Struthio camelus: one gene and its partners. The protein of the gene in region 2 interacts with the protein of the main gene of each other region in a pairwise test. Links are inferred from orthologs where the notes say so. Each region holds a gene or a part of one and is shown on either strand. Other genes may lie near its edges.

The links.
Region 1: the proteins of GFAP (region 2) and RIBC2 interact in a two-hybrid assay, tested with the Homo sapiens proteins (2 studies listed by BioGRID and IntAct). The two-hybrid records come from large-scale screens. The link is inferred for Struthio camelus from reciprocal best matches to the Homo sapiens genes GFAP and RIBC2.
Region 3: the proteins of GFAP (region 2) and PDZK1 interact in binary tests that used the Homo sapiens proteins (3 or more experiments, as listed by UniProt). The link is inferred for Struthio camelus from reciprocal best matches to the Homo sapiens genes GFAP and PDZK1.
Region 4: the proteins of GFAP (region 2) and ZC2HC1C interact in binary tests that used the Homo sapiens proteins (3 or more experiments, as listed by UniProt). The link is inferred for Struthio camelus from reciprocal best matches to the Homo sapiens genes GFAP and ZC2HC1C.

Annotation. Positions count from the first base shown.
Region 1 is NC_090942.1:79,775,236-79,782,895, forward strand, and holds the start of RIBC2 (RIB43A-like with coiled-coils protein 2), read left to right. Parts: upstream 1-4,642; 5' UTR 4,643-4,744; coding exon 4,745-4,861; intron 4,862-7,660. Other genes in the region: SMC1B (structural maintenance of chromosomes protein 1B), read right to left, coding at 1-120, 1,313-1,421, 2,199-2,391, 4,196-4,304. UniProt on the Homo sapiens protein: Microtubule inner protein (MIP) part of the dynein-decorated doublet microtubules (DMTs) in cilia axoneme, which is required for motile cilia beating.
Region 2 is NC_090966.1:709,039-716,220, forward strand, and holds the start of GFAP (glial fibrillary acidic protein), read left to right. Parts: upstream 1-4,177; 5' UTR 4,178-4,196; coding exon 4,197-4,699; intron 4,700-6,405; coding exon 6,406-6,466; intron 6,467-7,038; coding exon 7,039-7,134; intron 7,135-7,182.
Region 3 is NC_090942.1:106,741,953-106,749,154, forward strand, and holds the start of PDZK1 (Na(+)/H(+) exchange regulatory cofactor NHE-RF3), read right to left. Parts: upstream 3,011-7,202; 5' UTR 1-3,010. UniProt on the Homo sapiens protein: A scaffold protein that connects plasma membrane proteins and regulatory components, regulating their surface expression in epithelial cells apical domains.
Region 4 is NC_090946.1:57,870,201-57,877,260, forward strand, and holds the start of ZC2HC1C (zinc finger C2HC domain-containing protein 1C), read left to right. Parts: upstream 1-4,038; 5' UTR 4,039-4,084; intron 4,085-5,230; 5' UTR 5,231-5,237; coding exon 5,238-6,512; intron 6,513-7,060. Other genes in the region: DNA mismatch repair protein Mlh3, read right to left, coding at 1-655; ACYP1 (acylphosphatase-1), read right to left, coding at 2,924-3,139, 3,567-3,650.

The DNA of each region.
Region 1 (7,660 bases), on a different chromosome or scaffold from region 2:
TTGCTGCATTTTTTTCTTTTTTCTCTCATACTCTTCAGCATGTTCCCATGAATTACTGATTTGTTCAAAAAGTTGAGTTCTTTCCTTTGGTTTCTTCATTGCAATTGACTCTACTGTTCCCTAAAACAAAATTGCCAAAATGCAACACGGCAGATTGTCACGTTGTATAATGATGAAATTCTTCTCAAGTGCATACAATGCATAGTTATTTCCTGATATTTTTTTAGTTAACAGAACTGACAGTTAATAGGTACAAGCCCAAGGAAAATTTCAGTAATGAAAGGAATACCAACTATCCACTACATGTAATTAATGATCCAACATCACCTTATAAAATAATTTTAAATCATTTTAAAACTTCAGATACTGACTATAAAAAACATCTTCAAAATCAGAATTCTATCTGAACAGATCAGTGAGCAGCATCAGAATGACAAAATTAAATCTCATTAGCCTCTTTAAAGGAACTAAAACTCATTTTCAATGCAAATAAAATTAACAAAAATCAGTATTTCAAGAGCGCATCTGCTGAAATCAATGGACTAGAAGATTCCATAACACAAAAGTTAATGGGAGTACAATTTCTGTCCATGCATTACCTGCTCAAACCTTGACCGACCTGAAGGAATTATCATTTTCAATAGCCTGCAGGAAATAAGTTTTGTGATCTTACTCTGTTCTTCTAGTGGCCAATGCCTTCATCATTAAAAAGTATTATCCCAACAAGAATCTATACATAGGGTTACTATAAAAGGAATGAAGTAGTTTTTCTTCGGGAATTTTAAGCTCACTGTTCTGTAAAGATAAAGAAGGTGATACTGTGAAGTATCTTCATCGTAAGCAATTGGCATTTTGGACCTGTATCTTTAAATACTTCTGAAGTAATAACCTAATAGGAATTTCAATTGCTAACTCTTGCTCTTTAACGATTTTTTGGATACATTTTTATGCCTCTTTCCTAATATGGGTGTTTTGAGATGAAATTACAATCTTTTCCCACTTTTAACAACCAGAGAAATTAAAACACTAAGCATTTAAAAATAAAGAAGCACATCATCTTATAAACTAAAGAACAGAAACAATTTCTTCTGGATTAGCTTCTTTCTTACCAATGCACTCATGCTCACACAAAAAACCTTTTAATTTCCATTTCACAATCTGCAGCTCTTAGCCAAGGTCAGGATAAAACTTTGCCTGTTAGCTTGAAACTAGCTAAGGGCATTCCCTTGTCAGTCAAGTAGATAACTGTCCATTCCTATGAAATAATCTCAGAAGCTTTTAATGTTCTTTACCAAGTACCTTAAATGCTCACCTGAAAAATAAGACAATTCCTGGCTTTGACAAGTATGCCTATTTTTTCAAGCTCGGATATGTAAACAGATCGGCTGACAGGTTTATCATTAAAAATATATTCTGAACAACTACCTAAAGAAGACAAAAAGTAATTACTATAAAATGGAAAAATCATACTAAGTAGCTGATCAATGTTACTTAAAAAAAAAAAAAGCGTTTTTCAAATGACTATATAAATGACTTTTAAATACACTTCTTAGCTTATGGTATCGCAGCACACGTGTAATTCAGAACATGCACATAACATGATACCTCTGGTCTGACACAAGGACATGAGAGGAAGCAGGTCTGACCCTGCAGCCCGTGGGAAGGTGTTAGAGGGCGTGTAAGTAATGCACGGCTGTAACACAAAATCCATGGGAAAGCAGTCACTAGTTCTGCTCTCAACTAAGCAACTCCCTCAAGAAAAAAAAAAAAAAAACAATGAAAACCCTTGCTCATTTCAGCAGCTTCATCTTTCTGTATTAAAATTCTAGCTGCATATTTCCAAAAGATATCAGCAGCTGCTTAAGTGCCTGTGCCTGAAGCAAAAGTTTCAGAATGGAATACCCCAGTCTCCAGAGCCTACGCTATCCACACATTCCAACAGCGAAAAATCTATAGATGATCAAAGTACAGAGCAAAAACATATATTAATCATTTGGTTAACTTTTAACTTTGCCCATAGTATGCTTTATTTTTGAATTATAACACTGCTTAAAGACTTTAAAAAGTGTTTCAAGATTCAACAGGCTTAACCTACCTAATACCAAAAAATACTATGCATTTGAACTGAAAGCTAAAGATTCTCAGTCTCCATTTTTGTACATCAGACCACAGAAAACATGTGCGACAGAATCTACTACCTACCACGGATAACTCTTGAAAATGTTTTTTCTTCCCCATTTTCTTCACAATACACTATTTTTACACTTGCTGTAGAAGAGACCGGTTTTCCAACATGTGCTCCATGAATAAGTTCTCGAACATTTTTAACTCGCAAGTTAGATATCTTTTCACACAGCACAAAACTAACAGCATCCATTATGTTAGATTTGCCTAAAAAAAAGTTTTGTCATGGCAGAAAGGAAATGAGGAATTTGATTAACAATTAAGAGAACATACATGTAACTGGGAGTCTTTAACATTCCATTTATACATTATATATTCCCTTCAGGAAAAAATATTTCACACCGTAAAGAAATCTATTTCTAAGATATAATGTAAAACAGATAACCAGCCTGTTTGTAATAGAAACGATCACAAAACTGATTTGTTATTAAATCCCAGACTCAGTATGGTAGATCAGATTTCATATAGGCACGTCTAGAGGTTATTAAATAAACTGAACTGACAGCATCATAATCCTCACTTGATAGTTTCCTTTGTATAATGTAGTGAGTGAGGTCTGTTGCATAAACATCGCAACCTTAGAACTGTTCCACAAGAACTCGGGTTCTTATGAACACAAGTACCTTCCCAGATCCATACACCACAGCACTAAAGTTTTCTAATAATGCTATTTTATAAAAGTTCTCTTTATTGAACCCTTTTTCCTTTTTCCCCTTTTGATCTTTGGCATTTCTGATGACAGCTTAATTATTTTGTCTTCAACTTTCGTACTTTTGCAGTATTTTGTCTCATTCTGCAAAGAATCAGAAAAGGAAGACTACTCGGGGGGGAAATTAATTCAGAGATTACAGAATATTCACACTTTTTTTTTTTTTGATTCATCTATATAATTTATTCAGATTTAACTGGAGAAGTACCTGGAAAAATAACCACAATTCTGAGACTTCCCAATATGGGGCAGTTAGGATGGAACAGGATGATACACAATATGACAATAATGCTAACTGACTGTAGCTAGCTATTTCCATTCATGTATCTCATTAGATTAGAAAAGTGAAGAAACAGGATCTAAATCATTAACAGATTGTGTAACTAAGCCCAAACACTAAGCTCATCCTTGAGGCTCTTCCTTGGGACAGCCCCTAACTCCCATCCCATTGTTCTTTGGCAACTAAAAGAAAAATCACATTTGTTGAACGAAGCCTTCATTAGAAGTGAATCAGTTTTTAATCAAAGTTCCAGCACCCAGAGCATGACAATGCTGAGTTACATCAACAAGAGAAGGCTCTTTGGCCTAAACTACAATATCCAAAGTAGCTAGCATTCCAAAGCTGCTTCATCTCCCCCCCCCCCCCCCCCCACAGGCATTTACGTTTAAGGCAAGGACTACACATTCACTCAAGAAGCAGCTTTCCACTACTACAGTTTACAACCCAGCATATTAAAGTGAAACCATCTTTATGTAACTTTAACAAGCTGAGCTACAAACTGGGGTGGCCAAAAAGTGGTGGGCTGTTTTCAAACTGCTCATTCTACAGGGCTAGGAAAATAAAGGGTAAAACCGGGAACGGAAATTTCTTCAGCCACACCACTTCAGCCTTCTGTGCTGGAAGATCAATACCGTCAGTTAAAGAAGCAATGTAGATCAGGAACATGCAAAACTTTGTTTGTGCTACCATCCCCTCAGGTGCCTGTGAACTGATTTCAACAAGGCCTATGAGAGTCTTCAGTCCCCCTCAGTCAAGCTTTGCAACTCTACTCAGCAGACAAGCTGTCTCCATCCATTCAGTACAGCCATGATAGCCTTCTCCTTCACCTGAGTGGCTGCGCCTGGGCAGCTACTGCTTCCTCCTTGTTAGGCCAGTGGTTTTCACAGAAAGGACCTGGTAGGCCCCAAAACTGAGATACAGGCTGGCAGGGCACCAGAAACTTCAATCCCAGCAGCTACAGAAGAGAAGCAGAGCCCGCAGCTGCTCGCTGTTCCCTCCCACCTATATCCTTAGCCTGCTACCTGATCCGTTGGGCCCAATGATGCAGTTGAACCTCATGAAGGGACCGATAACCTGCAGCCCCCGCCACGACTTGAAATCCTTCATCTCCAGCAGTTTCAGGTAACCCATTCCTGCGGCAGTGGGTGAGGGGCAGCCGAGACCGTTAGCCTTTGAACTTCCCGCCTTGCACGAAGTTTAAACACCCAGCGAGTATTTTTTTTTACTGATTTGCCCTGCGGAACAGGGGGGGAAGAGAAGAGCCTCGCGGAGCGCGGGAGGGGAACTGGGGCGAGCGCAGCCGTATGCCCGCCCCACCGCTGCCCGCCGCCGCCGCCGCCTCTCCCTTCCAGGAGCGACGCGAGAGCCCGCCAACGGCGCGTCGTCAACGGCCGCCCGCCTCGTGCCTGCAGCCACGCGGCCTCGCGCGATTGGCCGGTGGAAGCGCGCGCGCGGAGCAAGAGGGCGGGGGCTGCCGTTCCCATAGCGACCCGTGTGTTGTGGTTCCCGTGGGCGGCCGTTGGTGCTCGTGCTTTGCCCAGGCCGTTGCCCGTGCGGCCCGTCTCGGCGCCATGCACAAGCTGGGGCTACAGCGAGACCTGCAGGAGGCGGCCGCCCTGGAGCGGCGGCGGCAGCGGGAGCTGCAGCGGCAGAGCCGCATCTTCAACGCCCGCGACCGGACTATTGGGGTGAGGGCGCCGAGGGAGCCGCCGTCCGGGCTGTGGCGGAGCGAGGAGGCGAGAGCGGTGGTGCCGCCGCCCTGCTCCGACGTGCCCTGAGGAGACCGATCCAAAGCGGGGGCCGCCCTGAGCAGCGCCCCGGGACCGAGGCGGCCGGGCCCGGCTCCTGGGGGAGGATGGGCACGGCAGGCGCCCCCCTCAGCGCCACCTCGGTGACTGCTGTGGCAGGCGGGGGCCAGGCTGGGGTGGGAGACGGGCAGGCACCCCCCCCCCCCTTGCTTGAGGGGAGTGGTGCCTTTTTAAAAGGTCGCTGGTGAAAGCGTGTCTATATTGTCTAGGCATCATCAAGAGGTTTTTTTTTTTTTTTTGGCGGTTATCGCGTGTAAGGGGGACTTGGTCTGGCTCACTGCTGTGGGGCTCAAGGGCATGGTTTGATTTCTCCTTAAAAGGAGAAAAAAATCAAGCCCTCTGTTTCAGCCTATGTGTAGGAGTGAACTTTGTGGAGCATGTTTTACTTCGGGGTAAGCCAGAAGCCTGCAGAGTCAGCAAACACAATGAGGAATAAAACAATAAATGATTTTTATCACTCTGCTGTACTGATACATCTCTCAACTGTTTGATCCTCACTAGAAAATAGGATCACTGCTGTGAGACACCTGTTCCTGGAAGGGATCCTGCAACTGCTCCCTATTTTGTATCAGGCAAAATCTGACAGATTTGTTCAGGCTGCTTTTATGAATATAAAACTACTGGTTATGATTTTGCCCAGAATGGATGTCAGAGTGTGAATGCCATTCAGCCTGCAAGGATCTAGTCAAGTAGGACTAATTTTAGAATTTGTGAAAATAAGTCCAGTCTGTTCACTTCCTTGGGCTGGTAGGATAGCAACGTGTCAGTTTGATCCATCTGGTAGTAGGTGTTGCAACATGTCTCAGTATGTCAGTGGAAGGATATCTTTACCTCATTTGCAGCAGAGCCTTGGATTTATTCCTGTGACTTCTGCAAGTCGTCTTAGTTGCATAGCAAAGTAGCAGTTCCTGCTTCATGAGCTGGACAGATTATCTACCTGATAACAGAATCCTGACATGTGTGATAGCCAACAGTACACTTAAGTGGAAGGAGTTAACATCTTTTAATGGATGTGGGATGGGTATAGTAAGGTTCAACTTTATCCTCAGGAAACACACAGTTTCTCTGTAGGATATATTTCCTAGAGCCTTAAAAATTAAATGTAAAATATAAATTCTCTACTTTATTGAGCATTACTGATTTAGACCATCTGAAAATCATTCCCAAACACTTATGTAGAAGTAGCTTATCAGACAGGTTTTGATGAATCTATTCCCATTGAGACAAATATCTTAAAAAGTGTCCATTAGAGGAATTTTATAAATATTTTGATTAAAATCATTAAATATACGGTATTCTGCGGCTGTATCGTGACTACTAACAGAAGGGGCTATCTTGTGCTTGGAAATTAAGTCAAGTCCAAAGCATGGAGAGTCAACAAATCAATACAAAGATATACTATATCTGTATTTCAGATGTGCTTTTAGAGTCTGCCTTCTCTTCTGTTTTTGTTGGGAGGGGGGAGGGAGGTTGCTTTTGGTTTTAGTTTTTTGTTTCCAGTTTAGCTGAGTGCCTGTCACTGACACAATTCAAAAATCATGCATTAGAAATGCACCACAGATTCTTCAGGGGAAGCTACTGTTTATAAACTACTTCAGGGAGTAGTTTATAAACATGGAGATCGTATACTGCCTGGAAAGCAGATTGGGAACTGAGAGGCTTTATTCTTTTCTTGACTATTAGTAGTTACCTTGACTACTGTATCTGTTTTCTCATCTGAGAAATGGAAAAATAATCTAGAGAAACTTAGAAAGTAGTCTAAGATATAGCTCCTTTCATTTACAGATTTAAGAATTTATTCTCACTGAAATCAGTAATTTCCCAAAAGAGTTCAAATGAATAGTCCAAATGAAAAATGACTCTCCATTTATATATGAATTATTATACATAAAGACAAGCAGATTAGTAGTTAGTCAGCTGCTTTAAATGTTCATCGTAAGGAATTCCTTACTTTAGTGCCATTAGCATCTCTCATTGAGTCTTAACATTGCTAATGTTTCAGCTATCCTTAGGCAAGGTATGGTCAAATGCTCAAGTTAAATATGTAACTGTGTGTGGCTAGGAATGGTCCTTCTATGGATGCATTCCCATCTATTGAAAGCTAGGACAGAGAGAACAGGAAAGAGCTGATAGTGTAACTCTGAATTTGTACATGCTAGTCAGTGTATTTACTTGCCTGTATTATTCCCAGAATCTACTAATGGAGACACAAAAACATTCTCTTAATACTATTTCCCATAATTCTGTTGAGAGCTTAGTTTCTCAAATGAGGCCTCTGAATGAGTTCACGTTTGATGTCTTCTGTAGCATTGGTTTTAGACTTATTGCAGTACAAAGGTATAGTGTAGGCTTCTTCATGGTTTTACCCTTGCCTACACTTTATAGATCTACCTCTTGACCTGATTGGTATAGTCAGTAGTCCATTACAGCATTAACAGTGTGATCTGTTTAGGTCATTCTCCCTTGATCTGAATAGGGAATAACCATTTTAGCACTATCAAAATATTTTATCGAGTTGTTGAAGAATTGTCACTTTTTTGTAAATTTTTTTGTAATTATTTTAAAGAGATTAGGTGACTTGACCAGCAAAAAAAAAAAAATTAGAAATAAAATCTTGATTTCTGCATGTTCGTTTGCTGCCTTCTGTTAACAAACACAGGGCTTAAGTCTGTTGTGTAA
Region 2 (7,182 bases):
CTTCCTCTCTGTTTCAATCCTCAGAACATTGTTCGGGCAGTCTTGGCCAGAAAGGCAGCAAGAGGAGTGTGAAAGAGCTAGCAGTGCTCAGCAGTGCCTCTGCTGCTCCCAAACCCCAGGCCATGAAGTTCTTATGCTGATTACCTGCAAAGTCCAGGACCCCTCCCTGTGGCCTGGCCCTCCCAGGGGCCCAAACTCAGGTGCCAAAATTTGCCCTTCTCTGAGACCACCCCCATCACATCCCTCCAGCTCCTTCCTTGAGGTGAGGGGACTGATCTTCCCCTTTTCCTCTGCTTCATACAAGGGAAGGAGTGCAGAGCCTTCAACCCTGAGCTTGTTCCCAGCCTTCTGCTGCCCCATGTCCAACCTGATCCCCCCTAAAACTGGCCAAACACCTCCCAGTTCCCATCCCTGGGGTCCTGGCGTTGTCCTGGATTACACGTACCTTCCCTCTGCTCAGCTCTGTATGTTTTTGTAGCAGATGGATTATTGCTGTTCCCTCTCAGCCCCTCTGTAATCTGCGCCGGGGTGTCGAGTGCTAACAGATGGGTGATGCTAAGAAATAACATGCTTTTAATAAATCTTTTAGTTTAAAACCAGAGGGGTGCGGGGAGACGTGTGGATGTTGCTTCTGGCCTCCTTGCCTCCGCCTCACGCAGGAAGCAATGGTTGGGTATCAGCTCCCACCTAAGCGGGCCCTGGACAGGCCTTTGCTCCCCTGAGAGCTGCCGCAGGGGGGATCTCGGCCCTGCCCAGCCCATCGTGGCTTCCCATCTTCACGTTGGTGGCTCCCTTAAGTGGCTTTTGCCCCTCTGTTGTGCCTTGGAAGGGACAGGTGGTTTGCTCCATGTCCTGTGGAGTGGGTGAGGGGAGACATAGGCCGCTTGCCACTATGCTTGATGGCTGCGGAGAGCTGTTCTGCACCACTTTCCCCCTGCAAAAACCCCCTCCTGCCATTCCTGTCTACCCATCCCTACTCTTGCCCTAGGGGCTCCCTTATCTCTAGCTCTGGCCAGCTGCCAACCCCAGCATCTCTGCCTGGGCACTGCGGCTCTCCCCTCTGCACCGTGGTGATTCCCTGCCCTTCTGTGCTACATTGGGTACCGCACTGGGGCCTGAAGCCATCAAGGACCTGCCTTGGGCTGCTCCAGTGGCCTGTGAACGGGGCAGCCCACTGTTAGCTGCTTTCCTCTCCTTCCAGCCCTGGCAGAGGACGAAATGACGCTGGATCCTATTTTTCTAGCCAGAGCTTGGTCCCTGGGTGCCACGATGCATCTGGGTCCCTGTGACCCGCGTTGAAGGCGACTTCCTCCCACAAAGCCTCGGAGCCGGCCAAACTGCCGAACGGGTGCAGGGAAGAGGGATGCAAGGTCTGAGCCGGGCTGGGGCGCTCAGCGCACTCCCCCGTGCCCTGGCCCCTGCGCTCCTGCCGCAAGCTGGCCCCGGGTGTGCGGTGGAGCTGCTTGCAAGCTACTCCCCTGGGGCTTGGGGGTGACCGGCTCCTCCTGACCTACTTCGCTTGCCCAGCTCTGGCGCGGAGAGCTGCCTTGCAGCAGTGGGTGCTCGCCTTTGTATTCTTGGAGGCTGGAAGCTTATAATTAAAACTTCCAGCTTTCTCCTCTTCATTTGTCTCATTAAGAGGAGGCTGGGGGTGGGGGGAGAGCCCAGATCTGCCTCCCCACAGCCGCTGGGAGTGACAGCTTTTTGCAAAAGGCGTCAATGCTTTGATCCTGGCTGCGTAGGAGCCAGGAGAAAATAAGTATCAGGGGAGATTAGCGGAGACTTCCTCAGTGCCCCGAAGATCCGGCGCCCGCCTTGCCTCCCTGCACCAAGCAGCCCTCCCTCCATGCTGGTGCGGTGGCGGCGAGAGCGAGGGCTGCAGGTTCCCCAGGCCGCATGTCCCTTTGGCTTCAGGACAGGGTGCTCTCGTGCTGAAATTCGGCTCGAGGTACCTAGGGACCCTGCTGGGTGGTTTTACGTCCATTAGAGCGTGAGACCCCAAGCTAGCCTCACGGATGAGGAGCTTTGATGGGGAGTGAGTTGCTGTGATTTAATTCCTGCTTCTGGTTCCCGAGGGCTGCAGCCCCCCTGCACAAGGTCTGGTGGCAGGACCCAGGCGTCCTGGCGTGCCAGTATGGGTGCTGGCCCCCGGGAGCATCCTGCATCCAGCCCCGCTCCTGTCCCCGCTGCAGCCTCTGCTGGGAAGCCGGCCACCAATGCTGGCTTCCCGATCTCAGCGCCGTCCCCTGCTCTGCCCTGCCAGGACCATGGGCTGCCAGGCTGGAAGGATGAGATTGTCCTCTCCGGCCACAGCCATGGGACATAGTCCCCAGGGACACGGCCACAGGACATAGCCCAGGACATGGCGGCAGCAGGCAGCCTGGGGCAGCCAGCCCATCCCTGGTGGCCAGGCCACGGCCCACCAGCAGCTCTCGGCACCAGTGTGGACAGGGAGCCTTTCCCGGCCATCGGCTGCCACCTAGCTGCCAGCCAGCGAGGCCTGTCCCCGTCACTGCAGCGTCCCCACGAGTGCACAAGAGACCCTGCTGTCCCCCATCAATGTGCCTGGGGTCAGCCACCCTCGGTGGCTCTGTCCCAGCCACCTCTCAGGGCTCCTGCTGGCCGCTGCTCCCCCTAAGCCACCATGCGTGTCCCCAAAGCCTCCTCGCCCCTTGCTCTGCTCCCCAATCCCCACCAGCCTGGAGGGGCCAGATACCGCCCAGGATGTCCCCCACCATGCTGCGACTCGGAGGGGACGTGGCTCCCGGTGGCCATGTGCCCATCGCCCCCCAAATCCTGCCCAGCAACCGCAAGCTGGGGAAAACCCCGGGATCCGGCCTCATTGTGCTGCCCCGAGTTTACCGGTGGTGAGCAGCTCTGCGTCCCCGCGCCAGCCTGGCATAAAGGCACCCTCATTGCTATGCCGGAGTGGTCGGGTCCCCTCGGCGCCCCTGTTCCCGGGCGCCGCTCGCTGCCCCACAGTGCACAAAGCCCCTTTCACACAACTCTGGCGCTCTCCACGCTGGGAAAGCCTCTGGCCCTCGGCCACGTGCCTGGGGGCCGGGAGGCGAGCCAGGGCTGTGGGGGCCCCAGCCCCTCCTTACGTTCCCGCAATTGGAAAAGGGGACAAATAACCCCGACTTGGTGCACAGATGAGCACCCTGCGGGGATGGGGCCGCCCTGTCGCCGGCGGTGCTGACAGATCCCCATGGTACCCGGGGCTTTGCCCTGGCCGTGCACACGCGTGTGCCCGCTCAGAGCAGTGTGATGGCGGAGGTGCTGGCGTCTCGGCATACCCCCCGCCCCAGGATGGTGGGTTTAACGAAGGGCTCCCCCGTTAGCCATCCTCGGGGCCTCGGGGCAGCAGAAGCAGGGATCCCAGCGGGCTGCCTGCTCTCTTGAAATCTCAAATTCTGCCTTTTTTTTTTTTTTTTTTTTTGCTAGGATAGGACATGAAGCCCCAAAGTTTCCCGTGCTCCCCCATTGCTGCACCGAGCTGGGAATGGGACCCAGGAGTCCTGGCCAGGGCTATGAGTTTGCGCTGCTCTTGCAGACCCGCTGGGGTGGAACCAGCTTTGGAGGGTTCCAATAGACACTTAATTAAAAGTCTATCTTAATTAGCTTCTTCTCCGCATGGCCAAACTTCCTTCAAACCTGCCTGAATGGGGCTGGCAGCCACGTATGTGCACGTGTGTGTATGCAGGGACAGGCATGCATGTACATAGCTGTGCATGCACATATGTGCGCACATGTACATGGAGGGAGAGACATGCATGCGCACAGCTGTGCGTGCACACGTGTGTGGGGGCACAGGCATGCATGTGCACAGCTGTATGAGCACATATGGCCGGCAGTTTCGTGGCAACTTTCGACCCCTGGGCACGGCTACACCTGAGCCCCTTGCAGCGGCACCCAGCTGCAGCGTGCACGTGGGCTTGCGGGGCCGTGGCACTGCTCTGCCTGCAGCACCCCGGGGGCTCCATCTGCCTGGCTCCCGCGGGTACCCGCAGAGCCCCAGTGGGGCCGGTGGAGCTGCTGGGCCGTGCCGCGGCGCTTGGGCAGGGTGCCAGCCTGCGTCCCTCCCCGCCAGGCACCACAAAGGCCGGGATTTGTGCTCGCCTCAGTGCCTGCTGGCCCCCCCGCCAGCCCCTCTGCATAAAACCCCCTGGCCGGGCCCCGCGCAGCCACCCCGCGCCATGGAGAGCCAGCGGCTGTCCTCCTACGGGCGCCGCTTCGGCCCCGCAGGCACCGTCGCCGCCCCGGCACCCCGGGCTGTCCCTGTGCGCTGGGGGCCCCCCGTCAGCTCCCCAGCCCGGCTCGCCACTGCCCGGGCCAGGAGCGTCCACCTTGGCCTCCGCTCCGGCTCCCGCCTGGGGCCAAGCAAGATGGACTTCTCGTTGGCTGACGCACTCAACTCGGAGTTCAGGGAGACGCGCACCAATGAGAAGGTGGAGATGATGGAGCTCAATGACCGCTTCGCCAGCTACATTGAGAAGGTCCGGCTCCTGGAGCAGCAGAACAAGGTGCTGGTGGTGGAGCTCAATCAGGCGCGGGACCAGGAGCCTTCGCGGCTGGCCGATGTCTACCAGGAGGAGCTGCGCGACCTGCGGCGCCATGTGGAGCAGCTCGCCACCGCCAAGGCCCGCCTGGAGATCGAGCGGGACAACCTTGCTGAGGACCTCGGTGGCCTCCGGCAAAAGTAAGGTGTTGCCCTGCTCGGAGTAGCCCTGGGGGGCAGGGTGGCCCCAGGCACAGGGGGGATGATGGGAACCAGGGGGGTGATGGGGACAAAGGTGGTCATCAAGATGAGGGTGGTGAGGGGATCAGGGTGGCCTTGGGGATGAGGGTAACCACTAGAACCAGGATTGTGATGGAGACCAGGGTTGTCCCAGGGACCAGGGCTGCCCCTAGGACTGAGATCAAGGTGGCCACCAGGATGAGTGTGTCCCTGGGGACCAGGGTGGGGATGGGGACCAGGGTGACCCTAAGGACCTGTGTGATAATGGGGACCAGGATGGCCCCAGGGAGTAGGGTGGTCACTGGGATGGGGATCAGGGTGACCACGGGGACCAGGGTGGTGATGGGGACCAGGATGACCCTGGGGACCATGGTGGTGATGGGAACCAGGCTGCCCCTGAGGAAGACCATGGTGTCCACCAAGGGATGTGGGATGAGCTGGGATTTTACGGGGCTCCGGGCACACACATGGAGGGGACACAGGGTGCAGTACGCAAGCTGGAGTACCCAGACACCTGGGTCCCATTGTGGGACACAGCGCTAGCCCACTGCAATGGGGCCAACCTCCAAGTCTGACTATTTCTAACTGAGCTGCATCGTGGGTGCTCGGCCCTATGTGTACACACAGGTGTGTCTGCTGGGTGCGGGTGTGCGTGCGGCTGGAAGCAGCACTGGTTTGGGTGTGTGCTAGCAGCTGAGGCTGGGGCCATGCATGCATGACCATGTCCATGTGTGCACAGCCATGCCTGTATCTCTCCATGCGTGTTTGTGTCCATGTCCAGGCATGCATGTCCATCCATGCACAGCTGTGCCCATGCCCGTGCATGTGTGTCTGTGTCCATGCATGCATGTCCATGTCAGTGTCTGTGCATGCATGGCTGTGTCCATGTCTGTGCATGCATGTCTGTGCATCCACGGCTGTGTCCACGCATGCATGTCCGTGTCCATGCGTGTCTGTGCATGTGTGTCTGTGCACGCATGGCCGTGTCCATGTCCGTGCATGCGTGGCGGTGGCTATGGCCAGGCTTGGCTCCAGGAAATGCGAGGCAGCGGGGGGGAGCGGGGGGGGGGGTCTGAAACCTCCCTGAAAACCCAAGGGGAAGTTCTGCGGGACACATGCACCCTGCAGCAGCCTCTGGGGTCCCTGGGCAAGGCCATGCATGCCTGGGGACCCCCGTGTAAGGGCCATGTGTGACACGGTGAGCTGGGTCTGCGCAGGTGGTGCGGCACGGCCGAGGCCGGGCCCTCGTGCCCGCCGGTGTGAGCGGGAGGATGTGAGGCTGGTGCGTGTCCAGCCTGATGGGGGGTGGGGGGGGGGGGGACCCAGGGACATGCATGTGGCATGGGGGGCCATGGGGAACACGTGCCCGGGGAGGGGTGGCGGGGAGTGTGGGGCCGTGCACATGCACTGACACAGGTGCCGGGGCCAGCGTTGGCGGCGGGGCTGGCCGAGGGGCCAAGGTGCACGTGGCCACCATGACTGGTGAGTGACGGTGCCTAACGAGTAACAGTACATAACACGTAGCAATGTGTAGCCAGTAACAGTGCCTAATGAGCACCGGTGCAAAGTGAGTACCAGTGCCTAACGAGCAGCAGCACCTAATGAGCGATGGTGCCTAATGAGCGAGGCTGTGTGAGGAGTAACGGTGGGTCTCCCTGCGGGTGCAGGCTCCAGGACGAGGTGACCCTGCGGCTGGAGGCCGAGAGCACCCTGGCTGCCTACAGGCAGGTGAGGGCAGGGGCCGAATCCTGCCCCCCAGCCCCGGGGAGCGGGGCAGGGGCGAGGGGTGGGCTGGGACAGACTGCATGGGGCAGGGACCAGCTGGGACATTCAGGATGGGCAGGGGACAGGCAGAGATGGGCAGGGGACGGTCTGGGACGCGCAGAGACAAGCAGGACTGGGCTGGGGAGGGCAGGGGACAGGCAGGGCAAGAGGCAAGGGTGGACAGGGATGGCCTGGGACACTCAGGGACAGGCAGGGATGGTCTGGGGTGCTCAGGCATGGACTGGGAAGGGCAGGGATGGTCTGTGACACTTGGGGACAGGCAGGGACAGGCAAGGCTAGAGGCAGGGAGGGCAGGGACAGCCTGGGACACTCGGGGATGGGCCGGGACAGGCAGGGATGGTCCGTGACACTTGGGAACAGGCAGGACTGGGCAGGAGGGAGCCAGTAGGTGCTGGGCTGGGCTGGGGCAGGGCCATTGCTGGGACAGGCAGGATCAGGCCAGGATCCTCAGGGCCAGCTCAGCAGGGACAGGTGAGGCATCACACTGTCTCTCCTCTTCCTCCCTCCTGCGGCAGGACGTCGACGCTGCCGCATTGGCTCGCCTGGACCTGGAGCGCAGGGTCGGCTCCCTGCAGGAGGAGATCACCTTCCTGAGGAAGGTCCACGATGAGGTAGTGCCATGGCCAGGCAGCATGCGGGGCCAGGGGTGGAGCGGGGAC
Region 3 (7,202 bases), on a different chromosome or scaffold from region 2:
TAATGCATCCAAAGCTGGTGAGCCCTTGAGGGACCTCTTCTGTCCTTCCCCCGTAAAAGTGAAATTTACTTAAGAATGGAATCGAATAAAGGCAACTTAAAATATCAACTCTTATGGTTCTTGAGCCTTTTGGACTGTGCTCTCAAACATTCATACAATTACAAAAATGAGGAACGTAAGCAAAAAAACCCCCTGACCTCTAACATTTCACGGCCTACAGATCTCTAGGAAGACGTCCAAATTCTCAGGACTTTGATACTGCCGGAGCTGGCCACAGTGACTTAGGTGGTGTGGTTCTGTTAGCACAGGGACTAGATTTATGGGGCCCATTCTCCGCAAAGGATGTCCCCGTTTTATAGCCAGTTGTGGTAATGTAAGGACCTTTGTTCCTCCCCTTGCATTTTCCTATATGCTAACATTTGCAAAATCCTTTCCATCGTTCTTTTTGCTAGAGCTTTCTGATGTTCAGTCAGAAAAAGTTATCCTACTTATCTGTGTTACCAAAGGAGCCATCTGTTTCAGATATTTGTTTTAGATTTACACCAGACAGAAACATTTTCTAGTAGCTGTAAGTGGTCGCATGGTTTCCTCAGCACATTAGTGAATGGAAAAAGGAGCCTGTGTTCTTGGAGCTTGCCAGGATCCCTGGCTTTAGTAAATTCACAAGTTTTGATAAGTCTTAACTTCAAAATAAAAGCTATTTGTCAAGGTCCCACTCTTTACAAGAAGTGCTGTCCAGATGTCAGGTTTGCTTTTTGGCCCTGTTTTAGACACAGACGTGAGTGGAGCATGTGGATCTCTAATGCCCATTGGTGCCAAGATAATGGCTCGTATGTAACTGTTATTGACCTCTGAAGAGTTTATACAGATTCATGTGTGAGTTTTAAAAAAAAAAAAAAAAAAAAAAAAAAAAAGTATTATCTAGTCTCTGGATCACTTCTACTTTCTTTGGTAACCTGCGTTTGTGTGTGTCTGTGTGTGTTTTCTGTTGGCAGTAGTGAAGAAACGGGTTTTGTGGTCATTTCACTGGATGAGAGGAGTAGAAAACATGGCTATTAATGACAGATTTGTGAAGTAGATCTTTGAAGTTTATAATACAAGCTTAAAGCTCTAAAGCTTTGTTGAATAAAGGATACCTTTTTTGTTAACAAAGCTTTACAAGGGTCTAAACCTAAATTTGCATGAATACATTTCACCTGTTCAGTTTTGAAAATAAGCTGGCTACTCAAATGATACGCATCACTGTCAGCGTTATTTTTTTTGACAAAAGGTTTATGTGCATGCTTTGCTGTAGAAATATTCCCTCTTTAATCTTTATAATAGTGACTATGCTAATCGCAGCTGAACTCTCTTGCCGGGGAGCATGGGTCTGGATGCCCTTTAAAACCCATGTAAGGAGGCATTTCTAAATAATTTTTGCTTGCCTGCCTTGGTTGCTGCATACTCACTGACCATCAGCTCACTTGTCTCTTTGTAGTGCTGTCCTTTTCTTGGAGTCATATGACACAAACTAATTAATGAAAATTAATTTTCGGATGCAGCCTATTGGGAAAGCAAGGACTCTTATTAACGTCCTCTGCTGACTCCAGCTGGGACAATTTGAAAAATTCTCCCCAGCTCCCTGCAGATAATTATACCCCTGTACCTGAGAGTGACAGAACGGTGGTATGCCTGGTCTAAGCCACCACAACCCAATGTATTAACAGGAGGTACTATTGCTTTCAATTTATATTAGTATACATGACTGTGAACTGTGATGTCTGAAGGCTCTAGTTCATAGCCTCTGTCAGGTAGAGGTATGGTGACTGAAGAAGCTACTGTCCTCATCGGAGGGGGCAGTGGCCTCTTCAGCTGTCCCAGCTAAATGCGACAAGAATGATGAATCAGAGCCTTGGACTGTTTTAAGGACTCCCTCAGCACAGTACTGTGAAGGTGTCTGGTATTTGTTCCTGTATCCAGCCTGTTAAAAATCAGTACAGCCTTCTCACTTTGCCCCTTATTCTGCCAGTGATGTTTTCCCACTTTGGCAACTATTAGGCAAAACAGCAAGTGCTTTGATGATAGAAATACTTAGTTCGCTGAGATCCTGCTTAAATATGAGGCAAAGTTCACTTGATCTACTAAATGAATATTCATCAGTCATCCTTTAATTACCGCTTGGGTATGTACATCTTTCTTTTTCTGGTGACCGCGTGATCCTGATACGGTAAAAAGTCAGGGAAATAAAGGAGAAGCAAACAGAGTTGGCGTTGCTGGTCTAGGGAGGAGAAGGAGACAATATCCCTCCTTTTAGCTTTTGGGCCTTCTGTCCTCCTAAATCATGTTCTGTTCCTAATCAGCCAGTGTTTATGGCAAATAAAAGTACTCTGCTATCCAGTGGAACTTTTATGGTCAAGGGAAGCCAGCCCTTTTCTTCTTGGTAGACCTGTCGGCAGGGGATTACAGTGGCAGTTCCCTTCCCTCAGGCTTTGCTTTTTATATTTCAAATAGTGAATTATCTTCCCTAATGTCCTTTTCGCTTGAGAACATAAACTGCAAATGAGTGCTTTCTTCTTTAGTTCTTCAGTAAGGATTTTGTATTGATTATGAGTTGAGCTTTTGAATGCTGAATTTTTAATAGAGTTAATTGTGATGTTTGTGCAGCTTCTTTTGCTGCCATGTCAGGCTGAACTCAATGTTTAAAAACTGGAATTTTGTATTGAAGAAAAAATTTGAAGGCCTTATAAATTAGGAGTTTTGTGAGTTGAGTAGGTTCCTCAATGGAGGAATGTGTTTGTCCGTAATAAATGGATGTATACCTGTGTGTATATATCTGTGAGCATGCACAGAAATCTGCCTGTCTGCAAAACTATTCGGATAACAGCAACAGAACTTGATTGGATTAAAAGTTACTCAAGTGGCAATGCCTTTGGAATTCTCTTTTTCCCTCGGGCACTGGTAATGTGGGAAGATTTTTCTTTGCAGTTCCTTATATTGGGTGTTTTCAGGACATAAATTTCTTCAGTTCTGCATTTTAATTGCTGTATCAATCAAAAGTTTTTGTACATGCAAGATGCTGAGACGTTTGTAACATATATATATATATATATAATATATATATATCTTTCTTAATCTACCAGTCTAGCTTTTCCAAATCCATGCAGCACCTGATGCTTTTCGTTTCCTCGGATATGTAAGCTTATAAAATTGCTTTTTCTGATCTATGAATGAACAGAGTAAGTTACTTAGATCTCAGTTGCAAGTGCGTTTCTTGCCCTTTGGAGATGAATTTCTGAATTTGACAGCAGTGTATGTTAGTTTTTCTAAGCTTTGGAAATATTTGTATTTAAAAAAAAGAAATCTACTCCACTGTTTCCTTTAAGGAGCTTGAGGAACAGATGCTTATGTAATCACTACAGAAAGCACATACTGCTCCTCCAAAAGTACAGCTCTATGAGACAGGAAGTATACAGACCTAAGACTTAGACAGCAAACAGGTCTGAATCTCTTTCCCTTCCCATTTCCAGTTCCCTTCCTACACCCCTCAAAAAATCTGTAACCAATCCAGGAAATTTCCCTGGTTTCTGTATCACCTCTTTATTATTGAGTATTTTATTTCACTTTGTCAGTAGAGATGCTATAATAACATTTCTTTGACCTAAGCTTGGTGTGAACAGATGTTGCGGGGGAGGAGGTTAGTTTGCATTAACCTCAGCAAATATAAATGCTTCACTGAAGCCAGGAGATCCATTGTGACTTTTTTTCATATGCCAGGGATCTAACTTTTGCTTCAGATTTCCTACTGGATGCATCTCGTCTTGCTACCGGAAGGACTTGAACTGGAACAGCATTCACTTACCTCTCTGAGATCAGTGATCGTAATGGAAAGTCTGAATGTAGGCTTGAAGGCAAAGATGTGATTTATATGCAGGCTGCCTGTAGACGTTTCCATCTTCTTGGTCGCTTTATAATTGCCTTTGTATTGAGGGAATTATTGTGTGCTGCTCTGATGTGGCTTATATGATGCTTATAGAAATGTATGGGGGTGGATAATGGCTGCTCTTCATTAGTTATTGTCACCTCTGTGGCTTTGTAAGGCTTGTGTTTGTTGCCACAGGAAGGAAACAATTGCCGCTATGCTAGGCGCTACGTAAATGCAGAATGCAGCCTTGTTCCTGGGTAAACCTTGAAAACAGTTACTATAAGCGTTGTGAGGAATATAAATCTAGATATTAGTTGAACCCAAGATAATTTTAATATGAGAAAATTATTTACTACAAAAATAAATTCTAATAAGCTACACAGGCCAGCAGAGTTCATTATAAGCTTCTATAATTCTTCAATTTCTTTGGTGAAAATCTCCAAACAAGCGACTGACCCTACCCGAAACCTATGCCTAAGTACTAAGAGCAGAATAAATCTCCTTAAAATGCAAACATGGAAATAACATTGGCTTGGTTGTAAGAGCAAGTTTTGATGATGGCAGAGCTTATGTCCCTGATTTCAACTGGAAGACGACACTCAAACTTTCTAAAATACCCACTTTTTGTGGAAGATCGTCCTAAGTGACATGGCGACATCTGGGCCTGCTTAACTTATCCAGAAATGCTGAATTCGGTTCTGAAGCGGAGCCAGCAGGACACCCCTTCTGAAGAAGTAAAAGCTGTGGAAAAGGAAACAAAATTCTGTTAGCCATGGGCATAGCTGAAGTTACGTGAATCTGCTTCCTCAGGCAGGCCATCCACAGTAGAGAGAATTTAAAGATTTAGGTGACTGGGGAAGCCGGCCTATGGCCAGAGGAAAGTTGTGTGTGTGCCAGTAAGCTCCACATTATTTGAATCCATATGATAAATAGCAAGGTCCCAAGAAGTTAAGCACTAACTCAAACTCTGCTCCCTTCTTGTTTTGCTTTTTCTGGAAGCTATGCCATTATTTATTGCTTTTCATTTGTATGTGCATATGAGAGATTCCCAACAGAGCCCTATAATGATTTCCTAAAGTTAAACCACAACTTGTCACTAATCAAGTCAGATTCGCTGGTGTTAATGGTGGTATTTAAATCTGCCCTTATATGATTTAACTGTCACACCTTCTTTTAAGCCCATGGAAACAGTGTGTCCCTTTAAAGAGGATGATGGAATAAGAATCTTCCCAACTGTGTGTTTAGTGACAGCAAGGTGTAAGGAAGAGGTAGCTAATGGACGCTTAAATCAGGTAGGCATTTATATTCCAAAGTAAGTGGTGCTATTCATTATCCATGTGCTTTTGTAGCTAGATCACTGGGTAGGGAATTGAAGATGAAGGATATTGTCAATGCCTTAAATTCTCCTAGGGCAACCCTTACGGAAATTCCTCCTAGTGCTGACTTTGTGAGTGGTAATAATGTGTTATATTAGTCTGGGAGTTTGATCATTGGACTGTGATAGTCTATTGATTCACCTTAATACTGCAGAGTTCCATAAATAATTAGATAAACGTGGAATGTTGATTTTTGCAAGGTTTGCTTTTATTTCTACTTGATTGACATTACACTTTTTTATTATTTTGATTTAAAAAGGAAAGAAAAATTAAGTTGCAGCTTTTGACAAATTGGTACATGAACCTGTTCTCTCTGTAGTTACAGAATACATATATCTTGAGGTATGAAATTTGTAAGCCCTCTGAGTTCCCTTCAAAATTCTAAAACTTCACAAGGTGATTAAGAGTAATAATGATCACTATGGCAAAAAGCTTTCTGTTTCAAGCCAGTATAGAACTCTTGGGTTTTTGTTTTTTTAATTCTAGATATAGGGAAGCAAAAATGATAACCCATTTGTCATTTGTACAAGCCAATGTTTTATGAAAGTGATACTCTACTAAAAGAAACCCAACAAACTAAGCCTTGAACTGAGGTACAGGGGGAGGTTGAGAAAGATGTTGGCATAAGCTTGGAAACCGGAGCAGAAGGGCTTGCAAATTGCAGTTCAGCTTTTCTTTGGCTTTCTAGGATTGTGACAAGAGAAAAGAAAAAATTTTTTAAACTTGTAATAGGAAGCAAAACTGACACTCAGATAAACACAGGCAGTATTCCCATTGTGAGGCTGCACAGCACATGACTGAATTTTATGAAACTGAGGGAGCATAGCCTGCGTCTTAGGCCTCAGAGGAAGTAGCTTGGCTTTTCACAGTTGCTGTCTTTTGAATGATTCTCAGGCTTACTCAGCCTAAATGTTTTGTGTTGATACAGAATGGATTAAAACTTTTAATTTCCCTCCTTTGGCAGATTAGTTTTGTGCGCACACATTTTTTTTTTTTTAAACACAGGCAGATTTAAGATAGTATGTTAGTTATATGGATATACTGCTGCAATCACTTACATCTCTGTGTGCATGCACATTCCTTTATAATTTAGTATTACAGGGAAATCTGTGATAAGTAGGCAGGCACCCATGTTTTATTAAAACTCTAGAGGGGATAAGACAAAAAAGAGCGTCTTATGCATGGCTGTTATTAGCCTCAGATTTGGGACTGCAGTTAGGAGGCGAAAGTCTTTGTGATAGGTTGGGCTTCATTGTGGGGGGCCTCTTGATCTTAACTCGTTTGTAGACCAACACGTCCAGAAGGCTGACCTGATGCATGATTGAGGTGAAGGCAAGTAGCTAGGGTAGATTACAGCCAGGACTATTGGAAGTCCAGAGGGCCTGGTGCATGGCTTTGTCCTGCCTGGTCCAGGGGCACTTATGTCCCACAGTAGGAAAAGAGCAGTTTCAGAGCGCCAAGAGGATATCTCCTTCTTTCACTGTTTTGATGGGAACCAGGCTTTACTACCATATCACTTACAAAACTGAAAGCTAGACCTGTCCAGATTTGGCTCTAGAAAGATCTGATAAGTCCTCTGAAGTGCTTTTTTGGAACCTTAGTTGTAAAACCAGAATAGGGTGTTACACAGTTACAGATCAGTTACTGAGAACCACTTAATCTGGTGTGGGTATCTTTGGTAAAACTATAGTTTACCTAGTCAGGGGTCCCTCCGACTATACCGTTCTTAGTTCAGTTTGACTTAAATTATCTGTTACAAACAATCTACCTTCTCTTTTGGTATTTGCCCACCACTGTGGCAATTTGCCAACCTTGCTTGAAATTTTTCTTCAGTCACCACAAGTATATGCATATGAAGACAGCAGCCCAAAGATACCTTGGGAAATAACTTTTGGGGTTTGTCTTTCTCTGGTACTGCTGCCTTT
Region 4 (7,060 bases), on a different chromosome or scaffold from region 2:
TGCCCAGTCCATAAATTTGACAAAAACGAGAATATACATCTCGTGTCTTAGGGAGCTGAAGCACCATAGAACAAGAGGCATCATTCCTTAAAGAGAGCGAAACAGAAGGATGCATCAGTGAAATAGCCTCTACTTTCTGTCTTACTCTCTCAAATTCCAAGATTGGATCCATACACTTCCTCCTCACTGGTAACTGATGGAACAGATTGCACACAGTCACTGTAGTTCCTCCACTTGGTCTGCTCAGTTCAGCTTCACAGACTTCCAACGCTTGCCCATTGTGAAACAGTTTCACAAAAGTTTTTGCTGTCCTATTGGTCTTAGATGAAACTTCCACTATGCTGGCCATGTTTGCTATGCTTGCCACAGCCTCCCCTCTAAAGCCATAGAATTTCAGGTTCTCTAAGTCTTCCACTGAGCTGCATTTACTAGTGAAGTACCGTCTTCCCATTTTATTTAAGTCTTCTCTCCCCATCCCAGAACCATTGTCCACCACCTGGATCTTAAAAGCTTCCAAATCCACCCTGACAGCTATGCATGTTGCTTTGGCATCAATGCTATTGAGGACAAGCTCCTCAACACACTGCCCCAGTGAGCTGATAGTCACTCCAGAACGCAGCCTGGCTCGCACATCTTCTACCAGACGTTTGATCATGTCAAAACTGGGCAGATGACAAAGTCAAGAAACTGCAGCAAGCTCACTCATCCATATTTGTCAAAACAATTCCCTGGGTGAAAAAAAAAAAAAAAAAGAAAAGAAAGAAAGAAAGAAGGAAAGAAAAATTAAAATTATGGGCATGAAAGATCTCTTATTTATTGTACTCACCCTCATAAATACATTTTTGTTTGTTTTTCTGGTACTCAAAGGCTTTTCTATGACTACTTTCCTGCTCCAGGACTGACTACACATCAGCTGGTGCCTTCTGGGTAAAAGGCCAAAACCAGAATCTATGCTCCTTAGTAGCTACACACTTGTTTCCCGAATTTATCATCCCTAAAAGAAAATCCAACCACAATGAGGCCAAACTCAACTGACCTGCAAGCAAAAGGCTTCTGTTTCCCTCTGTATCAAAGATATGTACTGAGTATCACCAGGAATCAGGCTTGAAAGCTGCTTTCCTCTCATATTTACCTCAGATCTCCTCACATACATTCATGATGTCTCATTCTGGCCAGAGAGTATCTGCTGCTATTTGTCCAAGGGAAGAAAAGCTGGCTCAAGAACGGAGGTGGGATACTAAGCTGTTTATATAAACGAGATCCCAATAATTTCCCGGCTTTTCTTTGACGACTACTGGTTTCTTAGGGGTATGCAAGGGAATACACGATTTTTCCTTGCCCCCCACACGCAGGGCTCCCCTCGCAGTCTAGTAAGCGCTGCTCACCCTCGTTGGCGCTCTCCCCCTCCTGCAAAGCCCGAGGCGGGTTTCCAAGGGCAGAGGAGGGCAGCGGCGCCCCGTGCCCACACTCGTTAGCGCCGCGGCGCGCGGGTGCCGCGGGCGGGCACGACGGTCAGCCCGCTTTCCCCTCCCCGCCAGGGACTCTGCCCCCCGCGAGCCCAGAAGCGCGAAGCGAGGCCCTGGCAGGCAGGGGGCGAAGGGCGGTGACGGCCCACTGACAGACGGGCCCGGCAGCAGAGCAGGCCCCGCTCCCCCGGCGCCTCCCCGCACCGCGCCGCTCCCCCCCTCAGCGCCCGCCGGCCTGGAGGCTGCGCGGCCCCGCAACGGCCGCGGCGCGAGACCAACCGTCGCGGGCTCCGCGGCGCGCACGCGGCTCCTGCGGCAGGGCAGCGCCGCGCCGGCTGACGGCCCGCGCGGGCACACGCACCGCGCCTGCGCGCCAGAGGTCTTGGGAAGGGCGGAAACGGCACGAGGACTACGATGCCCATCACACCTTGCGCCTCGCGGGCGGTGCATGCTGGGAGCTGTAGTTTCCGGGGCCGTGCTGCCATATTGCCGGCTGTTTCTCACCCAGGCCGGAGCAGGGCGCTGGCCGGGTGGGTCACCCAGGGAGGGGGCCGTGTAACGTCACTCCGTGGGGACCAGCTTTTCCTCGCGGGTGGAGGCAGGCTGGAGCACCCTACCTGTGCGAGTGGGGGGTGGGCGGTGGTCACTGTGGTTGCAGTCCCCATCCTGCTCCACAGTTCACTGGGAATGGGGTGGGGAGGGAAGCAGCTGACTCTGGGCTAGCCTCCCGCACGCGCCACCAGTTTGGGAGGTCGCCAGGTCTCAGGTCAGAGATGGCTCACATAAGGAAGGGCTCAGGGACTGTGTATTCTGGTTGGCTCACTTCATTGAAAATAGCACAAGGGTTCATGTGTTAGCGTAACTGAGTGAGCAACTGAAACACAGCATGATTCCATACAGACAGGTATCAACAAAGGGAACACATCACCCCTAAAGATCCACCATCCATTCAGCCCCACTACGACACATCCATTCAACACAAAACGCAAGTTCCAAGCCCTTTTATTTGAAAGAAAAAATAAATAAATTTCTTACCAGGTAGAGAACAAAATTAACTGTTTCTGAGACATTCAGATCACAAAAAATGATGCAAAATATCCTTTTAGCAATATTTAATATTGGTATCACTTCTACAACTTCCCTGAAGTGAGCAGAACACTGCACAAATTATTTTACCCATGTACAACTACTCAAACTCATTGTGCACATACATTCAGAAGAGGTTGTGCTTCTAAACAGCCCCTTTAATAAATACAACTCTTCAGTCTGCCTGTCAAAATATCATGAATGGTCGAGAGTTAGATAAAATTAGACAAACAGTGTAACAAACCAATAAATTAGAAGAGTAATAAAATAAAATTCTCTGTGGTTGAATATTAGCTGATAACAAATGGAGAAGAAGAAACTATTCTGTGAGGGTGGCTCATGCTTCAAATCTTGGTGCTCTCTGGACAAAGCTACTTCAAAATCACAAAATCCTTGTGCTCCAGCGCATCAATCTTCTTCTCGTTGCGGAACTCCGCTCGGCTGATGCAGGACTGGGGGCTTCCTGTCTTTCTCAGCCATTCCTGGAGTTTCCGTACGTTGGCCGTTGGACCCTGAAGTTGTCCTTGCACAGTGCCATGGCTAGTATTTTTGACCCAACCAACCAGTCCTAGTCTCCGTCCCTCAGCCTGAGAAGAAAACGTAGAGCACGGTGAAGGTGAACTACACAATGCCGCTCACACACAGGAGTTAGTTTTATAGACAAGACACAGAGCTCCAGGGAAGCTCCCACGGGTCAGACAGAAGGAAAGCAGCAGAGGAGTCATCCGCTACTCATTATATTCCTTCACATGAAAAACAGGGGCTGAAACATACTTCAGTCATGCTTACATAACGCAGCGCAAAGTCACCCGCAGCACACAGTACTGAGAGCTGCAGTGAGGAGCACGAGCCAGGACTGCGGCAGCCACTCAGCCAAGCTCTTTTGGCTCAGCTCCCACCGAGTCGCTGATAGGCGACGCAAAGGCCTCACTAGAGCCCCGCGCGCCCCCGGGGACAGGGCGTCCTTCAAGAGGGGGACGCTCCGCCGGAGGGCCGGCCCGCCCCGAGGCGCACCTGGGTGTACTTGCGGAAGAAAACGCCCTGCACCTTGCCGAACACCTCGTAGTCCACGGACATCAAGCCCTCGCCCGCCGCCATGGCCGCCCCGCCGCCGCCTCCTGCCGCCGCCGCTACCGCCTCCTGCCGCCGCGGCGCCTGCGCGACGCTGCCCGCGGCCGGGGGCGGGGCCACCCTCGCGCCCGGCGGCCAATGGCGAGCGGGGCCGCGCGCGGGGGAGGGGTTGCCCTGCCCACCTCTAACCACCTTATGAATAATGCATGAGCGTGCTCCCCTCCCACCGGATCGCCTCCGCTCAACGGCCGCTGCCTGGGCATAGAGGGGGAGTCTTCCAGGGAGCAGAGTGGTCCCGCACCGCGGTACACAACTTCCGCCCGCTGCGCCGAGTGGAAGAGAAGCCTCTCGGGAGAACCATAGAGAGACCGCTACCCGGTGAGAGCGGCACAGGAAATAGCATTAGCGTGCCTGTCTCTAGGCAACAGTGGTCAACACAACGTCCGACGCCCGGGGCGGCGGTAAGAGGGGGGGGGGCTCGAGGCGCCCGGCCCAGCCGTCCCTCCGTGACCGGGCAGCCCCCGGCACGGTGTGCGCCTCGGCTGCGGCAGTGCGGGCGCAGGAACGAGGTCAGCGGCGGGGCCGCGTCCCGGAGGCACCCAGCCCGGCGGAGGGCAGCGGGCAGAGCTCGGCCCTGCCCCGGTGGGAGGGGGCAAGGGCCGCTGATGGCGGGGGGGAAAGGAGCTGCTGCTCTGCGCGGGGGCCACCCGGTTTTGCCAGCCCCCGGGTGCTGGTCTTAAAAGCGAGCCAAAAGAGCTCGGTCGGCTGTGGATTTGTCCGAGCCGCCGTGCCGTGAACTCCGCCACGCGGGTGGGGCGGGCCGGCGGCTTCGGCTGCAGCCGTTAGTTAAAGCGGCGCGTCCCCGCCCGCCGCGGGGCCGCGGCCGCGAGCGAGCCGGGCCCCGCCCCGCCCGCTGCGGCCGCGCGCCATTGGCTCGGCCGCGGCTGCCGTCACAATGCTGCCGCGCCTATCAGCTGCTCGTGGGAGCGCGGCGTGCGGGCAGTGGCCGGCGCCCTTCTGGCCGCCTGCAGTAAAGGGGCACGGCGCTCCTCGTCCCCTGTACAGTATTTGCTGAGATTGCAGGCGTCTATGTGTGTGGGGGGGGGAGAGAGGGGGTTTAAGCTGTATTTATAGTTATGGCGGCTTTGCGCGGGTATCTGAAACTTACTCTTCAGGAAATACCAGGTAATAGAATGAGCCGCAGAAGAATTGGACTGAGCTTTACAGGATGTCTGTATTCCAGGCCTGTGTACCACACTGACAGAGATGCAGTGGCAAAACTGAAGGGACATGTGGGAAATGCCCTGAGAGATATAACAGTTTCCCTGACATTATAGCATATTTCTGTTGCTACAATGATGAGACAGCGCACAGACAGAGACAGAAATAAAGGCAGACCTTATCTCTAGCTGCATAGGACTGGAAGAGGCAGCATAGGAGCCCCTTAGGTGGAAGGAAGGTAAAGAGTTATGGAACCCAGAAAAGTTACAAAAACTTTGCTAGTATTTATTATAGCCTCCAGCTGTAGATTGTTGGGAGGGAATTTTTCCAGTTTTAGATAAGATAGTGTGTAATGATTGCGCTTCTAACCTCGGGCTGTTTCTCAGGCGCTGGATGGCTGAGCTGCAGTTGGCTTTGTTTCCACCTGTGGATTCTGTGGTGGCAGCTCCCAAGTTTCCAGTGACAGGAAGATACGATTCTGAAGTCCCAGTCCGCCAATCCCAGCTGGAACACTCGAAGAGCACCTTTCATCACAAACTCCTACGTGACAAAGAGGAAAGTTTAAAGGATCTCTACACTGAAAAAAGCCGAAGCTATTCGGCTTCGAAGTATTCTCTTTCAGCAGAAAGCAGTCAACACAGCTCCAGACAGGAAGGCTTCTGTTTAGCTGGACTCCAGAGCAAATATCTCACCAGCCAGGCCAAGACTCTGCCATCTAAATCAATAGCCAGACGGAGAGAAGGGGTGGACCGTTCATATCCCCTGAAACCAATCTTTCACCGCAAGGCTGGAAGTGTTCCAGTGGTTAACAGAGGGCAACTCAGAAGTCCCCCATACATGGAGGAATCTCTAAGTAGTCGGCCTAGTTCAAAGAGCAAAGGGAAGCCTGCAGTAGGGAGATCTCAGCTAGCTGCAGTGCTGTCTCCTTGGACAGCAGAACCAAAACAGTCAGCCTCACCCCTATACAGGAGAGAGCTGGCCTACATCCTAAGGCTGGAGGCAGATGGACGGAATCTGGAAGAGGAAATCCGAAAGAAAGAGGCCCTCCTCAGAGAGAAGCTGAGGAGAACAAAGGAGGAGCTTAGGAGGATTCAAAGAGAGAAGGAGCTAGTGGAGGCAGAGGAGAGAAGAGCCAGAGAAGCAGAGAGGACCACTGAGCGAAAGGCCACAAGGCACTCTGAAGAGAACGTTTACAGAGTGGCAGTCAGGCCTGGTGATGGGGACTTTGAGAGGGCGCAGTCTCCAGAGGTCACTAGGTCCAAGCCAGGCACCAGCCTCCATCCCCAAGAGCTAGCTATGGGGAAACTCAAGAAGGAACGTTTGGTGGCCAGCAATAGCAAAATACGAGACCGCTTATCTGGAGAGGATTTAGCCTCTTGCTCAGAGCCAGTCTCAAAACAGAGCCCTTCTCCCTCTGCCTTCTCAGACCAAGAATCTGGTGACCACTTAGCCACAGAGATGTTGTACATACAGGCTGCCAGTGCTGGGGAACTAGGACAGTGCAGCTTCTGCGGACGTAAGTTTCTCTGCACCAGGCTCGAGAAGCACGCAAATATCTGCAGCAAGAGCCAAGGCTCTAAGAGGAAGGTGTTTGACTCGAGCAAGGCTAGAGCCAGGGGCACAGAGCTGGAACAGTATCGGCAGTGGAAGAGCTCAGAGAGCCCTCAGGTAATGTGCAGCCCTTTTTCCACCCTCAATCTGCGTGTACTGCTCATGTTTCTCCCACCTGGAGATAGAATTCTGACTGAGATGTGAGGTCCTTCCCATGTAGACAGGGCTGGGGGATACAATCCAGCCATCCCCTCTGAGAGGCACCTGCCAAGCAGGTAAATGGAAGGAGCTGCAGCTCCTGCCCCAGCTGCAGGGAGGGGGGATCTTATTGGACTTGTCTTTGCAATGTGTAAGGGTGTACTCCCAGAGAAAACTCACTCGTCGCTGGAGTCAAGATGCTCCTGTCAGAGGGCAGGGTGGCTGTGCTGCAATGAAACAGAGACCGGTGGCATTAGCAGGGTGCAGGGAACCGGTTGAAAATCCAGGTAATATAACAGACTATTAAAGTGAAGGCAGTGAAAAAATGCAGCCTTGTTCCTACAGAGCATCTTCCTCAAGTTCCCTGGCCCTTGTTCTTCTGGGTATTCCCAAGCTTTTCCTAAGGATTGATGGAAATATCAATAAATCCTTCAAATCCTCCTTAGTGCTGGTCTGCTCCATCCCCT